2 linked regions of the Ovis aries genome follow. The protein of the gene in region 1 purifies or fractionates together with the protein of each later gene. This does not show direct contact. Links are inferred from orthologs where the notes say so. Each region holds a gene or a part of one and is shown on either strand. Other genes may lie near its edges.

Region 1 (12,102 bases):
ATTGTCTTTCTTTGGGATTGGAATGAAAACTGACCTTTTCCAGTCCTGTGGCCACTGCTGAGTATTCCAAATTTGCAGGCATATTGAGTGCAGCACTTTCACAGCATCATCTTTCAGGATTTGAAATAGCTCGACTGGAATTCCATCACCTCCACTAGCTTTGTTCGTAGTGATGCTTCCTAAGGCCCGCCTGACTTTGCATTCCAGGTTGTCTGGCTCTAGGTGAGTTATCATACCATCATGATTATCTGGGTTGCGACGATCTTTTCTTGCCATCTCTTAATATCTTTTGCTTCTGTTAGGTCCATACCATTTCTGTCCTTTATTGAGCCCATCTTTGCATGAAATGTTCCCTTGGTATCTCTAATTTTCTTCGAGAGATCTCTAGTCTTTCCCATTTTGTTGTTTTCCTCTATTTCTTTGCATTGATCACTGAGGAACGCTTTTTTATCTCTCCTTGTTCTTTGCAACTCTGTATTTAGATGGGTGTATCTCGCCTTTTCTCCTTTGCCTTTTGCTTCTCTTCTTTTCATAACTGTTTGTAAGGCCTCCTCAGACAGCCATTTTTCTTTTTTGGGGGGATGCTCTTGATCCGTGACTCCCGTACAATGTCCCAAACCTCCGTAGTTCTTCAGGCACTCCATCAGATCTAATCCCTTGAATCTATTTGTCACTTCCACTGTATAATTGCAAGGGATTTGATTTAGGTCATACCTGAATGATCTAGTGGTTTTCCCTACTTTCTTCAATTTAAGTCTGAATTTGGCAATAAGGAGTTCATGATCTGAGCTATAGTCAGCTCCCAGTCTTCTTTTTGCTGACTGTTTAGAGCGTCTCCATCTTTGGCTGCAAAGAATATAATCAGTCTGATTTCAGTATTGACCATCTGTTGATGTCCATGGGTAGAGTCTTGTGTTGTTGGAAGAGGGTGTTTGCTGTGACCAGTGCGTTCAGTTGGCAAAACTCTATAGCCTTTGCCCTGCTTCTTTCTGTACTCCAAGGCCAAACTTGTCTGTTAATTCTGAGTATCTCTTGACTTCCTACTTTTGCATTCCAGTCCCCTATAATGAAAAGGCAATCTTTTGGGGGTATTAGTTCTAGAAGGTCTTGTAGGTCTTCATAGAACCATTCAGCATCAGCTTCTTCAGCATTCTGGTTGGGGCATAAATTTGGATTACTGTGATACTGAATGGTTTGTCTTGGAAATGAACAGAGATCATTCTGTCATTTTTGAGATTGCATTCAAGTACTGCATTTCGGACTCTCTTGTTGACTGTGAGGGCTACTCCATTTCTTCTAAGGGATTCTTGCCCACAGTAGTAGATATAGTGGTCATCTGAGTTCAGTTTACCCATTCCAGTCCATTTTATTTCGCTGATTCCTAAAATGTCGACATTAACTTGCCATCTCCTGTTTGACCACTTCCAATTTGCCTTGATTCATGGACCTAACAGTCCAGGTCCCTATGCAATATTGTTCTTTACAGCATCAGACCTTGCTTCCATCACCAATCACATCCACAACTGGGTGGTGTTTTTGCTTTGGCTCCATCCCTTCATTCTTTCTGGAGTTACTTCTACACTGATCTCCAGTAGCATATTGGGCACCTACCGACTTGGGGAGTTCATCTGTCCGGGTCCTATCTTTTTGCCTTTTCATACTGTTCATGGGTTCTCAAGGCAAGAGTACTGAACTGGTTTGCCATTCCCTTCTCCAATGGACCACGTTTTTTCGGAACTCTCCACCATGATCCATCCGTCTTGCGTGGCCCTACACAGCATGGCCCATAGTTTCTTTGAGTTAGACAAGGCTGTGGTCCTTATGATGAGATTGGTTAGTTTTTTGTGATTGTGATTTTCAGTCTGTCTGCTCTCAAATGGAAAAGGAAAAGAGGCTTATGCAAGCTTGCTGATGGGAGAGACTGATGGGGGGAAACTGGGTCTTGTTCTGATGGATGGAGCCGTGCTCAGTAAATCTTTAATCCAATTTTCTGTTGATGGGTGGAGCTGTGTTCCTTCCCTGTTATTTACCTAGGGCCAAACTATGGTGGAGTTCGGACTTCCTGGTGGCTCAGGTAAAGTGTCTGTCTACAATGCGGGAGACCTGGGTTCCATCCCTGAGTCGGGAAGATCCGCTGGAGAAGGAAATGGCAATCCACTCCAGTACTATTGCCTGGAAAATCCCATGGACAGAGGAGCCTGGTAGGCTGCAGTCCATGGGATCGCAAAGAGTTGGACACAACTGAGCTGCTTCACTTCCAAACTATGGTGCAGGCCAACCAGGCCCCTCCATCCATGGAATTTTCTAGGCAAGAGTACTGGAGAGGGTTGCCATTTCCTTCTCTAGAGATATTCCCGACTCAGGGATCAAACCCGGATCTCCCGCATTGCAGGCAGACGCTTTACCGTCTGAGCCACCAGGGAATCCAATGAAGATAATGGTGACCTCCTTCAAAAGGCCCCAGGCGTGTACTGCTACATTCAGTGCCCCCAACCCTGCAGCAGGCCACCACTGACTCATACCTCGACTGGAGACTCCTGGACACTCATGGACAAGTCTGGGTCAGTCTCTTGTGGGGTCATTGCTCCTTTTTCTTGGGTTCTGGTATGCACAAGGTTCTGTTTGTGCCCTCCAAGAGTCTATTTCCAAGGGCTTTGTAAGTCCTGGCAGCTCTGTGGTGGGGTTAATGGCGGCCTCCTCCAAGCGGGCTTATGCCATACCCAGGTTTGCTGTACCCAGAGCCCCTGCCCCTGCGGCAGGCCACTGCTGACCCGTACCTCCACTGGAGACACTCAAACCCTTGAACTCATGTTCAAGGTCGGAGAAGCCCCAGCAAGACAGTAGGCTCTGGAGCAGCCACTGCGTGGCGCTGGAGCAGCTGTGAGGAGATACCCCACGTCCGAGGGCTGAGAAGCCCCAGCAAGATGGTAGGAGGGGCGAATTCACGCTTAGAATCAAACCCCATACCCGGCAGAGATGCTCAGAAGGCTCAAATCAACCTTGTGTGTGCCAGGACCAGAGACCCTGCAGAGACTGGTGGCCATGTAGTCTTGAGACACTGGCATCAGCAGGGAAAAACAGGATATTGCCTTAAGGAAAAAACAGCCCACCACCAGGGCATTGTGGTCACTGTGACTTCATCTCTTGTTTGTCAGGTCACCTACAATGGGCCATTTTTTTAACAATACGCCATGAGCCCCTTGTGGACCCTAACAGTGTACACCATATTTTCTTTATCCATCAGTTTATGAAATTTGGTTTCTCACTTTGGGGCTGTTTTGAATAATGCTGCTATGAGCATTTGTGTTCTCTTTAACTTTTTTCTTTGTGATTTATTCTGTTAGGAAATTGGTTTGTCTTGTAGAGTTTCCAGAGTCTGGAATAAAAGCCCTCACAGAGACAGTTACCACCAGTTACTGGTGAATGCAAACTGCCATTTATAACTTGAGTGAGTGGCATTTTTCTGTTTGCCAAATGGCAGACTTGTAGGTGGGCCAATAGGTAAGCCCACCCAACCAAAGGTTCTTAACAGAGAAGAGCAGTGGGAGAATTTTTTCAAATTTCTTCTTCCCTCTTGTGGCCTAGTTAAATAAGGAATTTGGAGAGGAACTTTTCAGTAGGGAATTCAGTAGTCTCAGACTGTCTCCTCACAAGCTTTCTAGGTGAAGGTGGTCTCTCCTGTTTACGATTTCCCCTTTGTAACAACAGCCTAGGCTGGGCTCTGCACAGTATTGTGAAAGCTTCCCTGAGCACCTTCCAGCACCCTGTCCACTTGGCTCTGTTGCTGGCCTCTGAGCTGGCAAGCAGGTGGCAGACTGGCATGTGGGTGTTGGAGTGCCCAGGACCTGCAGGACAGTGCCAGTTGTTCCCACTGCTTGCCTCCAGGAGTGTGTGCAAGAGGGCAAGCAGCAGCAGTGAGTCCCATTGCAAGAACACAGCTTGCAGTTCTCTGGGAGAATGGAGAGGGGTGAGCCACGGCTGCTGGAGGAGGTCTTGCTGGTTTTCCCACCCCCCCACACCCAGTGCCCGAGCTGAGTGGAGGGCAAGCCAGGAGAGTCTGGATGCTGAAGAGACATGGAGGGGTGGCCAGTGTCAGGATGGCAGTCCACTTCACAAGAGCAGGACATAGAGTGGGCCAGGGAGGAAGGTTGGAGTTGTGGGTGAATGTGCACCCAGAAACAGTGAACCATGGCGGAAGCAGGGCAGGTGGACTGAAGTCTCAGCCACTCTGTTCACAGGCCAGATAGGCAGATAGATCCCCAGACAGGCAGACAGACACACAAACCTCTGGTAAGACAGACTTCCAGATAAAGTCCCAGGCAAAGACTACATAGCAAGACAGCCAAACAATGGACAGATTCTTAGACAGGTGGGAAGATGACCAGCCAGGCATGCAGAGAGACCTGTGTCCAGACAGGACACCCCTCCCACCCTGCTTCCAGCCAACGGAAAGACAGAATCCTTCAGGAATAGACAAAGTACCACCACTGGGCAGAGAGACAGTGGAAAGACATCCTACTACCCAGCCAACTATCCAGCCAGATCTTTAGCTTGGCAGACTTAACTCTGCCAGTAAGAAAGACCCCAGCCTATCAGAAAGGTGCTCAGGATAGACAGATGTCCCCTAAACCAGGGGGACAGATAGATATAGACACCCCATCCTGTTGGACAAACACACCTCCAGCCCCTAGTGGAACAGAGATCCCCCAGCTAGCCAGAACCCATTTGCTGCATTAGCTGCCCTGTTTCCTGGTCACCACCACAGATACGCAGGGCTCACTGAGCCTCAGTGTTGCCTCTGCTCTCCAGGTTGACAGTTTCCAGTGACTACTGACATCCAATGACATTCACTACTAGCAGGGTTCAGAAAGCCCATTTGTGATCCGCAGTGGATATTCCTCCTTCACCCTGGTGTCCACTATCCCCAAATGATTGCTATTAGTGTCCATGATTACTCAGGGGCTCAAGTGTCTCTGTGACTCCTCCAATGGACCTCCATATTTTCTCAAAGTTCAGTGATGCTTCTTTATCCCACCACCCTGAGTGCAACAACTGAGTCCTGAGACCATCCAAGAAATCTCAGTGATTACACTGACATTCACTATCGAGCCCTGGTTAGGGGTCCTCAATGAACTTGTCTGACCCTTTTGACCCCTCAATTACTTGGTAAACTAACACTCCAAGTCCCAATGGCTCCCTGGTTACTTTCAGTCTATCACTGACCTCCCAGTAACTGCCACTGACATCTACTGACAGTCTCATGAACGTCGAAGGACCTCTCACTGGCCTGCAATGAACTCACTGATAACGTCAATCCTTGGTGGCCACTACTGACCTCTGAACTTTCAAAGATGACAGTGAGTCAGCAGTGACTCAATCCCTCAATAAGTGAAACATCCCTACTGACCTGCTTTTTGCCTTCTCAGTCACTTAAACAGGGATTGGCAACCTACAGCCTGCAGCCCACCAAAGAAAAAAGACTGACACATGAAATTAAAATTTAAAGTCCACAAATAAAGTTTGGAATACAGCCATGCTTATCCCTTTACATATGACCTATGGTTGCTTTCATCCTGCCTGTCGAAGTTGAGTGGCTGGGACAAGAGCCAGAGACCTCAGTCGTTTAAGAAACAGTTTGCCTGTCTGTGACAACATTCTGATAACTCCCTAATGAATTAGGTTCACACTCCTTACCTCCAAAGTGAAGGATGGGGTAGCTCACCTACACTGAACGGCCCTTGGCAGGGGCCCCTGGCTCCTACCTACTCTCTCCCTTTGTGGCTCCCGGGCAGCAGCTGTCCTCTGGCCTTCTCCCCATTTTCTGAAGACGACAGTATGAGAATGAAAAAAAAAAAAAAATCCTTAAAAGCGTTGAGAACATCTAGATCCCTGGAACCCACTCCCAAAACCTCAATTCTCAGTTTCCTGGAAGTTTTATACAGCTTGAGATTCCCAAATTAGGATGATCCTGGCTCCCTCGGCTCCTCCTGGCCCGACCCAGAAAAAGAAGGAACCTCAAGAAATTTTGTCTTTCTCGCAGCTCAGGTGCCCGGCTGTCATTTCCCCCCGCGGCAACCTCTCCCAACCTCCCTTGGACTCCGCCGGAGCGCAGAGCGGGGTAAGGTCTCCACATAGGGTTTCCCAGTCAGGAATTTCAGCTTCATCTAGGCAGCCGTCTTTACTCACAGCTGACACGCCACCCCGGTTGGGATCCGGATACGTCCAGCTCCCTGGAGGCCGGGCGAGGGCATGTAGCCATCCGCCATGCCAGGGCGTGGACCCCGGGCCCAAGCTAGAGGCGGTGTCCATAGGACCATAGGGACTCATCCAGCCCGCGCGGAGACAAAAAAATTGAAGCGCCGGCGCAGTTTTCTAGCCCCACGCGCAGCCAGGGGAACCTAGCGCCCCCAGTCCGGTAGCCTGTGGGCGGGGCTGGGGCGGGCTCTGAGTGTCATTGGCTGAGGGGCGCGCCCTGTCTGCCGCTGAGCACTCCCATTGGCCGGCGAGATCTGAGGTGGGGCCTGGGCTGCCTTCAGCGGAGTCTACCCCAGCCGAGAGAGCGGAGGTGCAGGTGGACTGCACCTCACTCCCAGGCGGCACCATGAGCCGCAGCTTGGATGCTGCGCGGAGCTTCTTGGAGCAGCTGGAAGCACTAGGCGGCAGGGATGGGGTGGTCTTCGCCGGCGAGTTCAGCGTGAGTGGGCGAGTGTGGACTGCCGAGCTCCTGCTCCTCGCCCTGGACAGTTCGGACCTCCGTCTGTTCTGTGCACCCTGCTGCACTTTGCTTCTCTCTCGGCGTCCAGGGTCGTCTTCTCACTTCGAGATCTCTCTGTTTTTCTCTCCCCAGCACCTCTCTCTGTCGCACTCTCTCTCTCCCTGCCCGTCTTCACCCTCTGCCTGCAGAGCCCCAGAGGGCGAAGTCCACTGCCGGCCCGGGCGGGGCCGCACACGCCCTCGGGTCCCTGCGCGCTAGCTGCGCTCCCGGTATCGTCGGGTTGCTGAGCGAAGGCGAGCGCTCACGCGATGCTCGGCCGCTCCAGGCGACCGGGTGGTCACTGTCCCCACTGTGGTCCTGGGGAGGAAGGGGCTGGGAAAAGAGGAACCAAGAGGCCCCGCTGCAGTGAGGATATGGAGGCCAGTTCTTACAGGCGATGTGGCCTGAGGCTCTTTATCCGGTCTCTGTGGCCTCTGTTTCTCCTAGGGTGAAATGTGACGAAACTGACCTGAGGATTAAAATAGCCAGTGTGGGTAAACCGCGCTTAGCACATCTTGAGCGCTTACTTTATAGGCGGCTTTGCCACTAGTTATAAATAATCCTAAACTTTACAGTGGGGTAGTGCAAGCTATACGTAAGGAGTGCTAATGCAGCAGCGTCGTAGGCATCGCACTGTACAAGTACTGAGATATTTTAAATATAATAACATAGAAACGTGTTAGAATCATATATGGTGACATCTTAAATTTAGAAATGTCTGATAAATATATGTAAGTAATAAATGACTATATATTCATTAAGAACAATAGAAATAGAGAACAGACTTATGAAGTAATTGTATTAATATAAAATATATAGTGTATATGTATAAATATGTCATAAACTATAACTTATACATTAATTTCATAGAACAGAATAAACATGAAAACTCATTTATAAAATGAGCAGTTATTCAAGTTTCTAAGAAACAATAATAAAAGTATACATCTTTATACAAATATAAAATAAATATTATGTATAAGAACTGTGTAATAAATGCAGAATATATAATTTATGCAATATGAAAATGTGCATAATAAATCTAAACATATGATACCCAGGTAGTACATGACATCATATCCATCCAGGTCTGGGTCCAGTTTGGGACAGTGAGCAGTGCTGACAATCCCTATGCAGAAGCTGGGTGGTGAGCAGTGCCAGTTGCTGGAGGCCAGCCTCCTGCAATCTCCTGCGCTCACAAGAATCTTCCAAGGCCTCTCTGGGCCTTGGTTTCCTTATCTACATAGTAGAAATATCCATAGTGGTATCTACTGCAGAAATGTGTCCATGAAGACTTAAATAACCTACCTGATGGGTGTAAGAACACTTAGAATGGTGGCTTGCAGTCACGGTGGCTTGGTAGGTGTTATTTATTATTGTCATGATTATGAATGCCTGGTGATGATGGCAATACTATTCACTGATCATAACAATCTAACAGTATTAAAGCACCTAATAGTATCTACATAAGTAATGTTATACATTTAATTCATATACATTGTATATTATCTTCTTGTGTATCATGTTTGTTATGTTAAGTACATAATATATTACAATTATTGTTCATGATAAGATGTAAATACACACTGAGGGTATGGGGACAGATGCTCAGAGGTCTGAGTTCAACACTCACCCACTTCCTGGGTGGCACTTTCAGAAAGTCACTGACACATGTGGTGCCTCAGCTTTCTTACTGCACAACGGGGAGTCAATAATACCAACTTCGGAGGCACCTTGCAGATAGTTCAATGCCCTTACACAGGGCTTAGCATAGAGAGGGCACTCTGAATGGCTACTGTTATTGAATCAATATTGGAGAAGGGAATGGCAACCCACTCCAGGACTCTTGCCTGGAAAATCCCATGGACGGAGGGGCCTGGTAGGCTGCAGTCCATGGGGTCGCTAAGAGTCGGACACGACTGAGGGCTTTCACTTTCGCTTTTCACTTTCATGCGTTGGAGAAGAAATGGCAACCCACTCCAGTGTTCTTGCCTGGAGAATCCCAGGGGCGGGGGAACCTGGTGGGCTGCCGTCTATGGGGTCGCACAGAGTCGGACACGACTCAAGCGACTTAGCAGCAGCAACACTATCTGGACGCAGCACTCACCTTTCATAGGGCACTTGCCGCATATCCCTTTGAGAGCCTCAGTGTCCCAGGCCTCTGATCTGGCTCCTCTCTTGCTCTCTCTTCCCACCCCCGGGTCTTCTTGCGGTCCTCCCACCAGGACATCCGGGCCCACTCAGCCGCCTGGAAGACGGAAAGCGTGTGCTCAACGGAGGCCGGCAGTCGCCCCGAGAACCTGAGGAAGAACCGTTACAAGGATGTGCTGCCTTGTAAGTTGGGGTGGGGGTGGGGCCTCCGGAGGAGTCGGTGCCCCCACGCTGTGGGATCCAGGTGCTAACCAGGGTCCCTGTGTCCTACTGGCTTCCCAGAACTCTCCCTCCAGGAGCCCTGCTCTGGCTGCATTTATCCCCAGCATCCCACCAGTGCACCCTGATGGGATCCCCCCAGGTGTGCCGTCCCCTGCTGGCTTTCATCTGGGAGGCCATCAGGGCTGTCACCCACAAAGTCCATGTTTCTCACTTCTGCTGGCAGACGATCAGACACGAGTGATCCTTTCCCTGCTCCAGGAAGAGGGACATGGCGACTACATCAATGGCAACTTCATCAGGGTCAGGCTGGGAGTCAGGAAAGGGGCAGAGGTGGTGGAGGTGACAGCAGAACCTCGATAGTGAACTTAGACTTTACCAGGGTGCAGACGGAAGCCAGGCCTACATCGCCACGCAAGGACCCCTGCCTCACACCTTGCTAGACTTCTGGCGCCTCATCTGGGAATTTGGGGTCAAGGTCAGCTTTGGGGGAAGGGGAGGTGTGGCCAGTATTCTGGGTCCTCCCTTGGCCCTGATAACTGCACCCCCTAAACTGATTCTCCTCCCTTACCCCTATGTCTAGGTCATCCTGATGGCCTGTCAGGAGATGGAGAACGGACGGGTAGGTGTGCTCAGCCTCTGGAGTGCATGTCCTTATGCAGGAGACAGGAGAAATCTCACTAGCTCTCCCCTGATCCCATGACTCAAGGGACGGGTTCTTGGAGTGACCCCACTGTAGCTCTGCCAAGCCCACTATTACTGGCTTTAATTTTTTAAATGATCATTTTCCTTTTATTCGTGTGGTTCATCCTTCCAGTGTTGGCAACCCTCTCCTGCTGGACTTCCTGCCCCATAGACCATAAGACCCTGTAACTGTGGCTTCCCCAGTACAAGTCTGATGTCTTTCCCCATGTTTCTCCCACTTATTCACTATGCTCCGACCACTGGGGCCTTTGTTCTGCCTCGAGTCCTATGTTCCGTCTGTTCCCTCTGCCTGGGACATTTTTCCCCTTGGGCTGCTGCATCACCACCCTCAGGTCTTGGCTCAAATGCTCCTTCCTCAATGAGATCTTCCTGGACCTCACCCCATTTGAAACTCCCACTCTCCTTCCCCGGTCCTACTTTCATTTTCCTTCACAGTTCTTAGCAACTTCTGAATGAAATATAAGATAATCTACAAATGCATTGTGTATATTGTTTATTCTGTCTCCCTGAGTAGAAGCAAAGTTCCAGGAGAGCAGGGATCTTTGCTTTGCCCATAAGTATAAATTAGTTACTCAATAAATGTGTATTATCACTGAAGGCACATGGTTTCTGCATCCTGGCCGGCTGGGATAGCTGGCTGATCATGGAGTCTATGCAATCTATAGTGATGTACATTTTTCATCTCTAATTTTGGTAGTTGTGATATCTTCTCTCCTGGCTATTGGGTCTGGCTAGAATAAAGAATCAAACTTTTAACTGTTGTACTAAATCTGTCCTGCTGCCTGTTTTTGTAAATAAAAATGTATGAGAACATAGTCATGCTCATTGGTTTACATAGGGTATACATGCCACAATTGTCACGTTCAGTAGTTGCAAGTTAAGTAGACTGTATGGCTCCCAAAGTCTAAAAGATTTATTATCTGGCCGTTTATAGAAAGTTAGCCAATCTCTGGGCTAGAGGATTATTAGTTTTATTTTTTTCAAAGAAGTGGCTTTGAATTTTATTCATTTTCTCTAATTTTAAATTTTTATTTCATTAATTTCTTTTATCTTTATCATTTCCTTTCTTCTGGTTTAGGTTTAACTTGCTTTTTTCTAGTTCTTTAAGCTTAGATAAAAGATTTGTGATTTTTATCATGTGTAAGTAACGCCATTCATTTTTCTCCATACACTGCTCTAGCTACATTCCATAAACGATGTTGTCTTTTTTTTCCAGTTAATTCAACATGTGTTCTAGTTGCCCTTGTGATTTCTTCTTTGACATGGTATTTGACTATAGCTGTGGTTAATTTCCAAATATTGGGGACTTTTCCATATATCTTCCTGTTATTAAATTTCAGTTCCATTGTGGTCAAAGAACAATTTTATATTATTCCAGATGTATTGAAACTTGTTTTGTGGCCATGAATACGATTTATCTTGGTAAATGTTTTATGTGCACTTGAAAAGAATTTGTATTCTGCTTGGTTGAGTATTCTATAAATATCAGGTCAAATTGATTGTGTCTTTTTGAAAGACACTTTAATATTTTATATCTTTATTGTATCTTCATTGGAAAAGACTCTGATGCTGGGAGGGATTGGGGGCAGTAGGAGAAGGGGACGACTAAGGATGAGATGGCTGGATGGCATCATGGACTCGATGGATGTGAGTCTGAGTGAACTCCGGGACATGGTGATGGACAGGGAGGCCTGGCGTGCTGCGATTCATAGGGTCACAAAGAGTCGGACACAACTGAGTGACTGAGCTGAACTGAACTGAACTGATAGATCTTTACTGATTTCTTTTCTCTAAATGTTCTGTCAGTTCCCAACAGGAGTGTTGAAACCTTCAACTGTTTTATAACTGTCAATTAGTACAAGCTTGTGAATAGTATTACTCAAATTGTATTATTCATATTTTTTTGTCTCAGTTCAGTTCAGTCGCTCAGTCGTGTCCGACTCTTTGTGACCCCACGAATCACAGCACACCAGGCTTTCCTGTCCATCACCAACTCCCAGAGTTTATCCAAACTCATGTCCATTGAGTCAGTGATGCCATCTAACCATCTCATCCTCTGTCGTCCCCTTCTCCTCCTGCCTTCAATCTTTCTCAGCATCAGGGTCTTTTCAAATGAGTCAGCTCTTCGTATCAGGTGGCCAAAGTATTGGAGTTTTAGCTCCAACATCAGTCCTTCCAATGGACATTCAGGACTGATTTCCTTTAGGATAGAGTGGTTGGATCTCCTTGCAGTTCAAGGGACTCTCAAGAGTCTTCTCCAACACCACAGTTCA
Region 2 (12,171 bases), on another chromosome or scaffold:
TCAAAGTTTTTCCATCTTTAAATTACTTCAGTCAGGAACACATCTGAGTTCCTTACCTCACTCAAGAAAATTCTAAACTTAAAAGATGTCAAGAAGGGGGAATTTTCCCCTCACACTCCGTTTGACTGGCCTACTGATAAAATTGACACCAGACAGATTAATGAGGGAAGTAACAAATTTTAATTCATGCACATGGAGGTCTCAGAAATGGGATATAAGACATGGCTAAAGCAGGTAAGTTTTATGCTTTTTAGACAATAAATTTGACAGGGTTTATCAGGACAAACAGGCTATGGGTGCTTAATAAGTGAGTCTAAACAGAGTTTGGATTTGGGGTTGTAAATAAAAGAAGCATAACAGGTTTTGTTTATACAGACTTCTTGGCCCTGAATTTCCTATCTCTGGGGATAAGGATGTCTTTCAACCTCCTGCTACACAGAGAGGACCTTTCCAATGGGAGATTTCCTGATTTCAGGGAGACAGGTGTTACAGTGTCCTTGGATTTGCAATTTCTTAAGTTACTAATTCAAAATCATCCCACTGAGGATATTTTGGGGGTGGTCTGCCTTGTGCCCCAACAGTGCAAAGGGCAGACCACACTCATCTGTGCTTTGTTGCAGACAGCTAGCCTCTGGGTACTGAAGCCTTCTCCTGGAAGTTTTCCCTTTGTATACTATTCATGTTCTGTTCTGACCCTCTGTTCCACTCATGAATCTACTCAGCTTCTAATCTTAGTGATGAAATCCAACCTCTCTGCTTTTGACATTGACTTACTACTGCCCTCTGTCCCCTGCTTGGCCAGGTCCTGCTTCTCAGATCCTGGCTTTAGCTCCTTGGCCAGATTTGCCCCTGTCTCCTGGAAGGGAGGGATCAGGCTATGGGAACTGAGGTAAAAATTGGTAGTGACTGCTGGTTTTTTTTTTTTTTTTTTTAATTAATTTTTGGCTGCACTGGGTCCTTGTTGCTTTGCACAGGCTTTCTCTAGTCGTGGCAAGTGGGGGCTACTCTTCATTGCCGAGAGCGGGCTTCTCACTACAGGTACTTTCTCTTGTGGAGCAGGGGCTCTAGGCTCACAGGCTTCAGTATTTGTGGGGCACGGGCTTAGTTGCTCCATAGCATGTGGAATCTTCCTGGACTAGGGATCGTGTCCCCTGCATTGGCAGGTGGATTCCTATCCTCCATGTCACCAAGGAAATCCAGTACTGCTGTTAATGATCAGGGAGAGCTTGTTGAATTCCCTGTCGGGTACTATCATTGTATATTCTATGAGAAAATAGCATCCTTATCTTGAGGGGCTTTGCATTCTTCTTGGGGAGGTAAGCTATCCACGAGGAACAGAAACTAGAGAAAAAAACATGGATATAAGTCATATTTCATCAAGGGCTAAGGGCTGGAGAAGGTGGGGCAAGTGGTGCTGAGATAGAATTTGAGAAAAGAGACGAGCTGCACCCAGGCAGCCTGCAAAGGAGCAGCACAGCTGGGGTGGCAGAAAAGCCTGGCTGGCCTAGGGTGGGGACAGGGGAGGAAGCCAGGGAGTGAAGTGGGAAAGGTCAGGGTAGGGAAGGTCTCAACGGCCACAAAGGGGCATTTGGGACTTAATTCTGATGGGGAAACATGGCTTTGTGAGGAGAGCAGAGAAAAGCAGCAGTGCTTCAAGAAAGAAAACTAAGGCGAGTTGGCAGAGGAGGAAGAGGAATGCAGAGTGGGCATTTGTTATTTTTGCCACTCACCATCCATTTATCCTATTTCAAGGGAAAGGTCCCTGATTCCTTCTGGGGAAGCCTCCCTTTCCTTTATAATTCTTGTGGAACAATTTGACAGCTTAATTTCAAAAACCTTAAAAATGTTTATATTATTTAACCTGTGATTATGAGGAACTTTTTTGAGGTATAGTTGATTTTCAGTGTTGTGTTAATTTCTGCAGTACAGCAAAGTGAATCAATTATATGTGTATATCACACACACACACACACACACACACACACACACACACACACATTCTTTTTTAAAATCTTTTCCATTATGGTTTATCATAGGATATTGAATATAGTTCTCTGTGGTATTCGGTAAGACTTTGTTGTTTATCCATCCCAGTATAATAGCTTAAATCTGCTAACCCTACCCTCCTACTCCATCCCTCCCTAAACCTCTCCCCCTTGACAACTACTAGTCTGTTCTCTATGTCCATGAGTCTGTTTCTGTTTTATAGATAGGCTCGTTTGTGTCATGTTTTAGATTTCACATATAAGTGGTATCATACTTGTCTTTTTCTTTCTGACTTCAGTTGGTATGATAATCTCTTAGTGGCATCCATATTGCTGAAAATGGCATTATTTCATTCTTATTTATGGCTGAGTAGTATTCCATTGTATATATGTACCACATCTTTATCCATTCATCTGTCATTGGACATTTAGGTTTCCATGTCTTGGCTATTGTGAATAGTGCTTCTGTGAACATTGCATTACGAGGAATTTTAATAAAAATTTATGTAAAAGATATTTATCACAGTGATATTTCTAAAAGCATTAAGAGAATGCTAAAAAAGTATTGGTATATCCACTTGATGGGAAATTATGCAAAAGTTAGAAAGTGATACTGAAGATTTTTCTTTTTAATTTTTGGGAGGTTTGAAATAAACTCATATTGTATAAACTCAGAGGTCCAGAGAGCATGAAGTGAAAAGTAGGTTTTCTTCCCTCCTATGTCCCTCTGCCCCATTCACCCCCGCATAAGAGGAACATTTAAAACATGTGTGTCTATTCTTTTTCCTCTTTACCCAAACGGAAGTTTGTTTCGCATCTTGTTTTTTCCCCGCTTTATAGCTGGTGATTGTTCCATATCAAAACACTGAGCTTCCTCATTTTTTTAATGCTTGAATATGATTTAATTATATAGATGTATTGCAATCTATTGAGCTAGTCCTCCACTGATGGCATTTAGTTCTTTCAAATCTTTTGCCAGAATAACCATGCTGCTATAAATAATTATATACATATTTCACTTTGCACATATGAGGATATCTGGAGGATAAACTCTAACATGGAATTGTTGGATCAAAACATAGGAGCACTTAGGAAATTCCTTGGTGCTCTAGTGGTTAGGACTCAATGCTTTCACTGCAAGACTTGTGGCCAAAAAAAAAAAAGGGAGCATTAAAAATTTTGGCAATATGGCAGAATTTCTTTCCACAGAGATTTTCAATTTTCTCATGAAAGAGTGTCCTGTCCATTCAGCCAGCATCATGTGCTATCAAACTTTATGTTAGGAAAGGTGTATTAAAGGATTTTAGAAAATACTAATGAAATATTGTTACGTTACAAAAGCAAGACTCAAATATGTACAGTACGAGCTTAAAAATGCAAATGTAGGACTTCCCTGGTGATCCAGAGGTTAATAATCTGCCTGCCAACCATGCAAATGCATATTATTGAAAGAGATAATGCCACTGAATTAATAATAATGAATGCCACTATTAATGGCATTAATTTAATGCATTAAATTCAGATAATGCCACTGAATTTAATAATGCCATTAAATTATCCACTGTTAACACAGTAAATGTGTTAATTGTGGTTTATATTAAATGTATTGATTCATTATTCCATAATTGCTGTAGTCCACCTCTTTGTAACCCCATGGACTGTGGCCTGCCAGGCTCCTCTGTCCATGAGATTCTCCAGGCAGGAATATGGGGGTGGCTTGCTATTTCCTGCTCCAGGGATCTTCCTGGAGTAGTGTTATGGCTGTAGTAGTGTTATGGCTGTAGTAGTGTTATTTAACTTCATTAGTAAAATATCCCAAATTTGTTATAGACCCTTGGGGGCATCCTTGGTGGTGCAGATAGTAAAGAATTTGCCTGTGATGCAGGTGACCCAGGTTCGATCCCTGGGTTGGGAGGACCCCCTGGAGAAGGAAATTGCAACCCTCTCTAGCATTCTTGCCTGGAGAATCTCCATGGACAGAGGAGCCTGGTGGGCTACAGTCCATGGGGTTGTAAAGAGTCAGACGTGACTGAGCGACTAACACACTTCTGCTGTAAAAACAATTCAAAGCAAGACCCATGGATATAGTACAAATATTACTTGTCTTTTTATTCCCAACACCTGTTGAGGTGATAAGGTTTATAAATTAGGAATGGATGAGGAATATTTTCTGTGTGGACAACCATTTGAAATTTCCAATCTTGCCACCAGGTGGTGGAAGAGAGTTAAAATTCAGGGGACCTCGTGGGTCTGAGCCACGAAAATCAAGTACAATGTACCCTGAGAGGTTAAACAAAATGTTGAAAATGAAAATTTAAACAATTAGAATTGATTTAAAATATTTGTTCCAAAATATTCAAAACTCCCAGGAAAAACTTTGATGCTATCTGTGGCACTTCAGCATATTTCCTCTGTTGGCACTATTTCTTACCCCTCCTTCTGTTGAGCCTGTCCTCCTGGTGCCCCTGATGATGCTGTCAGGCTTCCCTTTTTCCTTCTAACCTCGCTGCTTTCCAGAGAGTTGAACAGCCTGATGAATGGATGCAGCTGAAGGCCACCTCTCCATCTCTGTTGTTGCAGATGACTCTTGGTGGGATTCCATCACTGGGGTGGGTGAGGGCAAACCTTCCAGCTGCCCTTCACATCACCCCAGCTGCTATCTTCACTGTGTCTGTACCAAGCTAGAACCTGCTCAGAGGCACAGTTTGCCTCTCCAGGTCTGAGGCTGGGGGCTGGCTCTCGACCTGCATCCTCCCCTCCTTGAGTGGATCAGCCTCAGGAATGACCTCTATCTTTGGCTCTGATTCTGTTGAGAGGGGCAGAGCTGTAACCGAGCTCCTCATACTTTAAATACCTGTGATCTTGGCCACGTCAGTCAGCCTCTGTGGGCCTCAGTTTTTGGTTCAGGGCAGGTAGCGCAGGGCTGTACTTTGTCTCAGAGTGCCTTATCACTGCAAAGCGGGGATGGGTCTGACTTGCCCTCGGTTATGTTTACGGGGGTGTTTGTTCTACTAGGAGAATGAAGGAAGAGGAAGGACGCTGGGACATCATACTTCTGGAGGGATTTGGTGGAGAAGGGTCTTGGGTCTGGATCCTAAGAATGCGGAAGGGTTGGGGAGGAGCTGAGTTTCTGGACACCTTGAAAGGACCCCACTGAGGGACATGGAGTCAAGGGCCAATGACCTTTCCATGACTTTTGGACTAAAACATGCTTACCTGTGGCGGGTGCCTCTGAGGTCCCGCACTTGATGAGCTGAAGCGTCCACACCTAACGCGGCCGTCAGTGTTGTCAGTGGAGGCCGCGCGCAGTCCCCGCGACCACCTCGGATCCGACGGGGGCTCAGTCCACCAGCGCGCAGAGCCTGGCTGTCTCCGCCAGGAACTGGGTCAAGGGAGGAGGGAGCTGTGGGCAGGAACGGAACCGAATTCAGGGAGGCGACAGAATCGGTTCCTTCCGATCTTTAAAGGTCTCCCGAAGGAGAGGGACGTAGGGTTAACTGACGCCTGACGCCGCAGGGTCTAACCCTCGGGCCGCCTCTGTCTTCCGCGCGGGACGAGTGCAGGGTGCAGGCAGACCCCGGACGCGGCTCGGGCAGGAGTCGGGGGTGCTGGGTGCTGAGGACCGCCGAAGGGTGCGGGGAGCGGGGAGTGGTGGGGGCTCGGGGCGTGGTGGGGACGCGGGGCGGGGCCGGAGAGAGGGGGTGGGGCTCCGGGGGCGAAGCGGGGGTTGGGGTAGGGGACGGGGCCGAGCGATGCGCCTCGGGGCAGGAGGGGCGGGGATCGGGGGCGGAGCTGGGCTCGGGGGCGGGGCCAGGCGGTGAGGCTCGGGGCAGGCGGGGCGGGCAGATGGGTGGTGTGGGGGGCGGGGTGGGCGGTGGCGTGGGCGGGGCTTAGCTCCGGGTGCGCGGCCGGGCTGGCAGGTCCTGACAGTCCTCGTCCCCGCGCGCCTGCTCTGGTTCTCCTCGCTGCTCGCTAGCCAGCCATGACAGGCTCACTGTTCAAGGGGAACTTTTGGGTAAGTCAGCGAGGCGAGGAGCCCATCGCCCGGCTTGGGAGATGGGGGCCCCGAAGGGAGCCGTGGGCCCCTGTCCGGAGCAGAAGCCGATCGGACCGGCCGCCGCCGGCCCCTCTCTGCGCTGCCCCCAGCCCGCCGCGCGTCCTCGGGTCCCCGGGGTCCGGTTCGCAGGGTTTCCCTCGGCCGTCCGCGCCCCGGGTCACCGCAGACAGGTGTAGCCTTATAGCTGGGACATTCCCCTCTCATCTTACACCTGGGGAAACCGAGACCCAAAGGGAGGAGCCACTCGTCCTGGGACAGTCGCAGGGTGGTCCCGGAGGCTGCACTGTGAGCAGATTTGGGGGGTAACGTGGGTCAGAGAACGTACGGTAAACTTCGCCGGGTTGTTTGGCTTTTCCAGGTCCGCGGAAATGTACAGCCTGTCCGAGCCTCCAGACATTAGCGGGGTTCTCTAGCAGAAGCTTTGCCGGTCTCGTAGCCCCGTTTCCTGAGCCCCTCCCAGCCTTTGCCCCCTGTCCCCCTATCCAGGGGGAGGCTGGTGCGTGTGTGAGATCCTGCGAGCTGGTGGGGGCATCTGAGCCCGAGGACGGGCCCAACCAGGAGGCGTCAGCTCAGTCCTCTTCTCTGTCCAGTCCTCTTCCCCCCGTCCTCTCGCTCCCCAGGTGCCCCTCAACAGTCTGTACCCCCTCATTTGGAGGAGCCACCCTCATCCTTTTAAGGCAGGAGCAGAAAGTCAGCTTGTCTCCAGACTGAGCTACTGCTGCCAAGCCGCCCCATCTCCTTACCTGCAGTCCGGATGTGAAGTGAAAGTTGCTCCCTCTGTCTGACTCTTTGCAGGCGGATTCCTTACCAGCTGAGCCACAAGGGAAGCCCAATACTGAAGTGGGTAGCCTATCTCTTCTCCAGAGTATCTTCCTGACCCAGGAATTGAACTGGGGTCTCCTGCATTGCAGGAGGATTCTTTACCAACTGAGCTATCAGGGAAGCCGAAAGGAAAGTAACCCTGATGGCTCCCTGTTTAGCCTCATAGCACCTAGCAGGTTCCTTTCCCCCATGGAGAGTGCTACAAAGAGAAAACTTGGTCCTGTAACCTGGGGGACACAGTTTAGACCCTGCCTTGAGAAGTCCCTTTTCCTGGAGTTTTTGGGGTTCTCCTTGAGCACTGCCCACCTGTGGGGTATGGTCCTCTCACCACAAGCAGCTTCACAGAGAGGGTGCATGGCCTTGGAGCTGGCCCCTGGAGGAGGCCTGTGAATTCTTTGGGTGGAATAAAGGATCTCAGGGTCCCATGCCAGGCACTATGGGAAAAAAACAGCACAGAGAGCGCTGTTTTTCTTCCCCTCAATATGTAGCATTCAGTTTTCAGGTCTCTGCCCAGTGTCTTCTCTTCAGGGAAGCCCTCCCTGATTGTGCCCGATAGTGCATGTTGTATTCCTTCATAATTATTGTCCTTTATGGTTTTGAGGTTGGGGGCCTTGCAAGCATGTGAGCACCTTGTGGACAGCTGTTGTCTGGCTTTCAGTGCCACTGCCCCTTGCACGGGCTGTTGCCAGTGAGATCTCAGCAGATAGCTGTCGAATGAGTACAGTGGATCTATGAAATGGGGTTGAGAGCTGCGGCCTCCATCCTCAGAGGGCTCCCAGGCCACAGGAAGGCAGCCCCCCAGCTGCTCCCAGAGGCAGTCTTGCAGGAATGTTTAGGGGAGGGGGCAGATATGAGGTCTGTGTTGGGAGTTAGAGATTTGGTAAAAGTCCAGGGTAGAGAACTTTCTGAGTTTTTACTTCCCCCTCGCCCCTCCCCGAGCTTTTACTTTCAAAACATATAAGATCCTGAGTGATAGTTTGCAAAGATATCTTCTAATTTCATATGATTTTTATGTCAAGTAATAAAAACAGTAATAGCTAACATTACTGTGTATAGAGTCTGTGGCAAGCACCGTGCTAAACACTTTGCATATACCACTCATTTACGTCTCAGCTACCCTATGGGGTACCTTATTGACTATTCCATTTTGCAGATAAGGAAACTGAGTGGCAAACAGGTTGAGCAACATTCCCAAGATTGTAGAGCTATTAAACAGTGCAGCAGGACTCTGCATAGACCAAGTGTTCATCGAGTGCTTTCAGCGAGGCTGGTGCTCAGTGAGAGTGTCCTTTGGCACTGTCAGATGTAGACGCTGAGACATCATTTGACTCTTCACGTGCATATCTTTCTCCTTCAGCTCCAACCATGAGTTCCTGGGGTGTCTGCACTGAGTGCCACCACCCACTGAGCCTCCAGCACTGCGATGGTGCTTCTCATACGGATGCTCAGGAACCAGGCAGACGGGACAGTCAGCCCAGATTTGAAAGAAAGGGGGCAGAAGGGAAACTATTGGAGACCTTAGGGGCTGCCTGAGATGCTTTCATATTTTCAGGGATGGGTAGACAGTGGGGAGCAAGGCTGTTGTTATCACTGAGGGGATGGCAGCAACTCATGCTTCAAGGACAAGAAGGTTGTGATGGTATAAGGTAGAAAGCTTTGGAAACCCGAGTGGGTATCAGCTGATTGAATTGAACAAATATTAGAGAAAATACGTTCTCTGTATAGAGGTGGCATTTGCAGGGATAAGAGCACCGTCTTGGGTCGAAGGTACATTCATCATTAGGAAGCCAGCAGGGAGGGTGGACTGAGTCTTGAATGCCTGTCCTCACGGATATAGAGGACAAAGGGGTTGGGGAATGGGAGAGTTCTGGCAGGGGCCGAGGGGCAGAAAGGGTCTGTTCCAGGATGGAAATCGCAGGGAAGGGACAGGAGGAGACCAATGAAAGGAATGGCAGAGGGTAAGAGAAGTCAAAGCCACGGGACAAGGTCACCAATTGAAACCGGGCAGTGGGGGAGAGGAAAGAAAGGCTCCGAGCAGGCTCTGCGTAAGGTGAGCAGGAGAGTGGGGTACTGGCCCCAGAAAGCAGGAAGTCACATGAGGAACTGGTTTGTGGGGAGAGAAGGAGGAGGAGGCAGAAGCGATACTGACAATATTAACTACAGGGGTAGCACTGGTGAAGACGGAGACTCGCAGCATCCTGAAGCCCCTGCAGCAGCCCTCAGCTTTCAGGACAGTGCCAGGGTTGCTGGATATGGGGAGGTCCTAGGGAAGGAACAGGGGCCAGACAGCAGGGTTTGGGGATATTTTAATATTTGAACAACCAGTACAAACAGTGAGTGTGCCCTGATCCTAGGTTTGAGGACTTGGTAGAGGGGGCCCCAGTAGGGTGTCCAGGCAAAGGGTGTCCAGGAAAGACAGTGCCTGGAACAGCAGAGGCTCTCAGGTGGCCTCAGTTCAGCTCAGTTCACTTGCTCAGTTGTGTCCGACTCTTTGCGACCCCGTGAATTGCAGCACGCCAGGCCTCCCTGCCCATCACCAACTCCCGGAGTTCACTCAGACTCATGGCCAAGTTTAAATCCCCATCTGCCCCTTATAGCTGAGTGACCTTGGGCAGATAACTTCAACTCTCATTCTGTTTTTCCATGTTGAAAAATGAGGATAATACCAATGTTGGTGCTCTAGGACTGTTGTGAGGATTAAATCAGAGTTCTGTGCATGCCTGGCACATAGCGAGCACTTGTGATTGTCAACTATTATCAGCACAGAGGTGATAATTAAAGGAAGTGGTTGACAGTTACTCCTTGAGAATCAAGAGATAAGAGGACCCCAGAGAAGCACTCTTGGTGACTACCTTGTTTTGGCAGGAGTAGAGAGGGGTCAGAGAAAGAGAGGTAGAGATGTAGGGATTCAACCCTCACAGGAGCCATCACAGGCCCAGGAGAGGAATGTTCCATGGAAGTTGAGAGGCCCATGGTCAAATTAGGTAGATGTTCCTGAAAAGGTGTGAGTCAGCGTATACTGTATAAATAATCTTCAGATGCCCCGTGGGAAGTTCATTTAAAGGAACCTTTCGGTGGATCTATTTGAAAAGGGAATGCTCTTTAAAACTGGGATAGTCCCCCACTGTGTGTGCTTTTTCCCTCCCAGCAGTTGTGTGGTTAAGCTGTGCTGTTATTTATCCTGGTTCACGTTGACGGTATCTTGTTGAAATAAGACAGGGGCTGTGGGTGTGGTTTCCAGGGCTCCAGGGAAGGTGGCCACATAGGGACGGTCCCAGCCTTTGGCCTGTGGTCAGAGGGGCCTTGCACAGGTGACCTGTTCCAGGAGAGGGAGATGCTCCCCGCCTCAGGACAGTCCCACATTCCTCACGAGGGTGTGACCCCAGCCTGACCCTGTGTATCTTCTAGATCCTTATGTTGATGGTCTTCCTGATTCTCACTGCTCTAAGCCCAGACCAGCCTCCTATTGCCTGTCCTAACCTCTCCCACCCCTGTGCCTACGGTGGGCGAGGCCTCTCTCCTCTGCTTGGGGAGTGACCAGGGGAAGGCTTGGGGCCCCCTGAACTTGCTCGTTGTGCCTGACCACCCAGGGCTGTCCCTCTGCTTCAAACCTCTGACCGCTTTGGAATCTGTTCTTTCTGGGTCTTACCAGATCTTGAGTTGGTATTGTCCTGCCTGGTGGCAAAATGCAAGATAAAGGCGTTGACTTTCGTCCCTTCCAGTTCATTCTTTCTAGAGCAGCCACTGGGTTCTAACTTTAAAATGATTATCACAAATCTTATTTTCTTGTTTTAGCATTGTAAGAATTTAATAAGAAAGTCATGGGATCTACCTTCTAAGGAAAACAAGAAATTCTTCTCTTTTTTTGGCCATGAGGCATGTGGGATCCTAGTTTTCTCACCAGGGTGCAAACCCAAGCTCCCTGCATTGGAAGAGCAGAGTCTCAGTCACTGTGACTGCCAGAGAAGCCTCCAGAAAAATGGGAAATTCTTTTTGAAATATATGAAACAAAATCTGAACAAGTGGAAAGAAAACAAAAGTTTGTTAACAAACTTTAAAAAAGTCTAGATGGTGTAAGCATATTCTTTAAAAATTCAAATATTCCCAAATGACTTATAATGAAAAACAATATAATTATTATTTATGTTGTCACAATGTGTAAAGACTGTTTTTTATTTTATTTTTCTTTGCCATGTGACTTGTGGGATCTTAGTTCCTTGACCAGGGGTGGAACCCATACCCTCAGCAGAGAAAGTGCAGAGTCCTAACCACTGGACCGCCAGGGAATTCCCACAGCATGTAAAGGTTTTTATTTTTAAAGCTAAGTGTGTGTGTGTGTGTGTGTGCACACGCTTAGTCATGTCTGACTCTTTGCAACCCTTCGGACTGTAGCCTGCCAGGCTCCTCTGTCTGTGGGATTCTCCAGGCAAGAAATACTGGGGTGGGTTGCGATTTCCTTCTCCAGGGGATCTTCCCAACCCAGAGAGGGAACCCGTGTCTCTTGCATTGCAGGCGGATTCTTTACCTGATGAGCCATCAGGGAAGCCTGAAGTAGTATATTATAGTTAGATCTCCATTCTTATTTTTCCTGGACTTTCTAATTCTTCTTTCTTTGAGGGAAGACATTATTCACCTTTATCAGAAACCCTTTTTTAAAGCATTTATTTGTTATTTAATTTTGGCTGTGCTGGATCTTTGTTGCTGTGCGGGCTTTCCTCTAGTTGCAGAGAAGCATCGGCTTCTCTTTGCACTGGCTTCTCTTGTTGTGGAGCTCTAGAGCACAGGCTTAGTTGCTCCAGAGCATGTGGGATCTTCCTGGATCAGGGATCGAGCCCATGTCTCCTGCATTGCAAGGTAAATTATTTACCACTGAGCCATCAGGGAAGCCCCAGAGACCCTTTTTTTTTCCCCCTCAATGCTCCACTCTATCAGTTTTTTCCCCTGCACAAACAACAGTTTGTTCACAGATTAGATTTACACAGTGAATGTAGAATTCTGAGTTTGGTGTCTCAGATACCCATTACAGGAACACGTACATAGATAATACATAGTTAAGTTCATTCTAAAGTCAAAAAGACTTGGTGTGTGCAAACTTGGTATAAGTGTGTATGGATGCATATTAATTTATGGATTTTTCTGGTAAAAGCAACTATAGATGTCATTAGCCAATCAAAGCAAATATCAGTTACATCCAAACATATACAATATCCAAAGTACCTCTGTTTGTACAACCAGTAGATGTTTTTGCAATTAACTTCTGTAATTTTCATTTACCATCTCTTAAGTATAATCAGAATGTCCATTTTT

The links.
Region 2: the proteins of PTPN18 (region 1) and PSTPIP2 purify together in Homo sapiens (affinity purification with mass spectrometry; 4 studies listed by BioGRID and IntAct, with this or other methods). This does not show direct contact. The link is inferred for Ovis aries from reciprocal best matches to the Homo sapiens genes PTPN18 and PSTPIP2.

Annotation. Positions count from the first base shown.
Region 1 is NC_056055.1:114,199,253-114,211,354, forward strand, and holds the start of PTPN18 (tyrosine-protein phosphatase non-receptor type 18), read left to right. Parts: upstream 1-6,534; 5' UTR 6,535-6,601; coding exon 6,602-6,694; intron 6,695-8,979; coding exon 8,980-9,088; intron 9,089-9,350; coding exon 9,351-9,427; intron 9,428-9,506; coding exon 9,507-9,602; intron 9,603-9,707; coding exon 9,708-9,746; intron 9,747-12,102. UniProt on the Homo sapiens protein: Differentially dephosphorylate autophosphorylated tyrosine kinases which are known to be overexpressed in tumor tissues.
Region 2 is NC_056076.1:46,211,075-46,223,245, reverse strand, and holds the start of PSTPIP2 (proline-serine-threonine phosphatase-interacting protein 2), read left to right. Parts: upstream 1-5,913; 5' UTR 5,914-5,967; coding exon 5,968-6,000; intron 6,001-12,171. UniProt on the Homo sapiens protein: Binds to F-actin. May be involved in regulation of the actin cytoskeleton.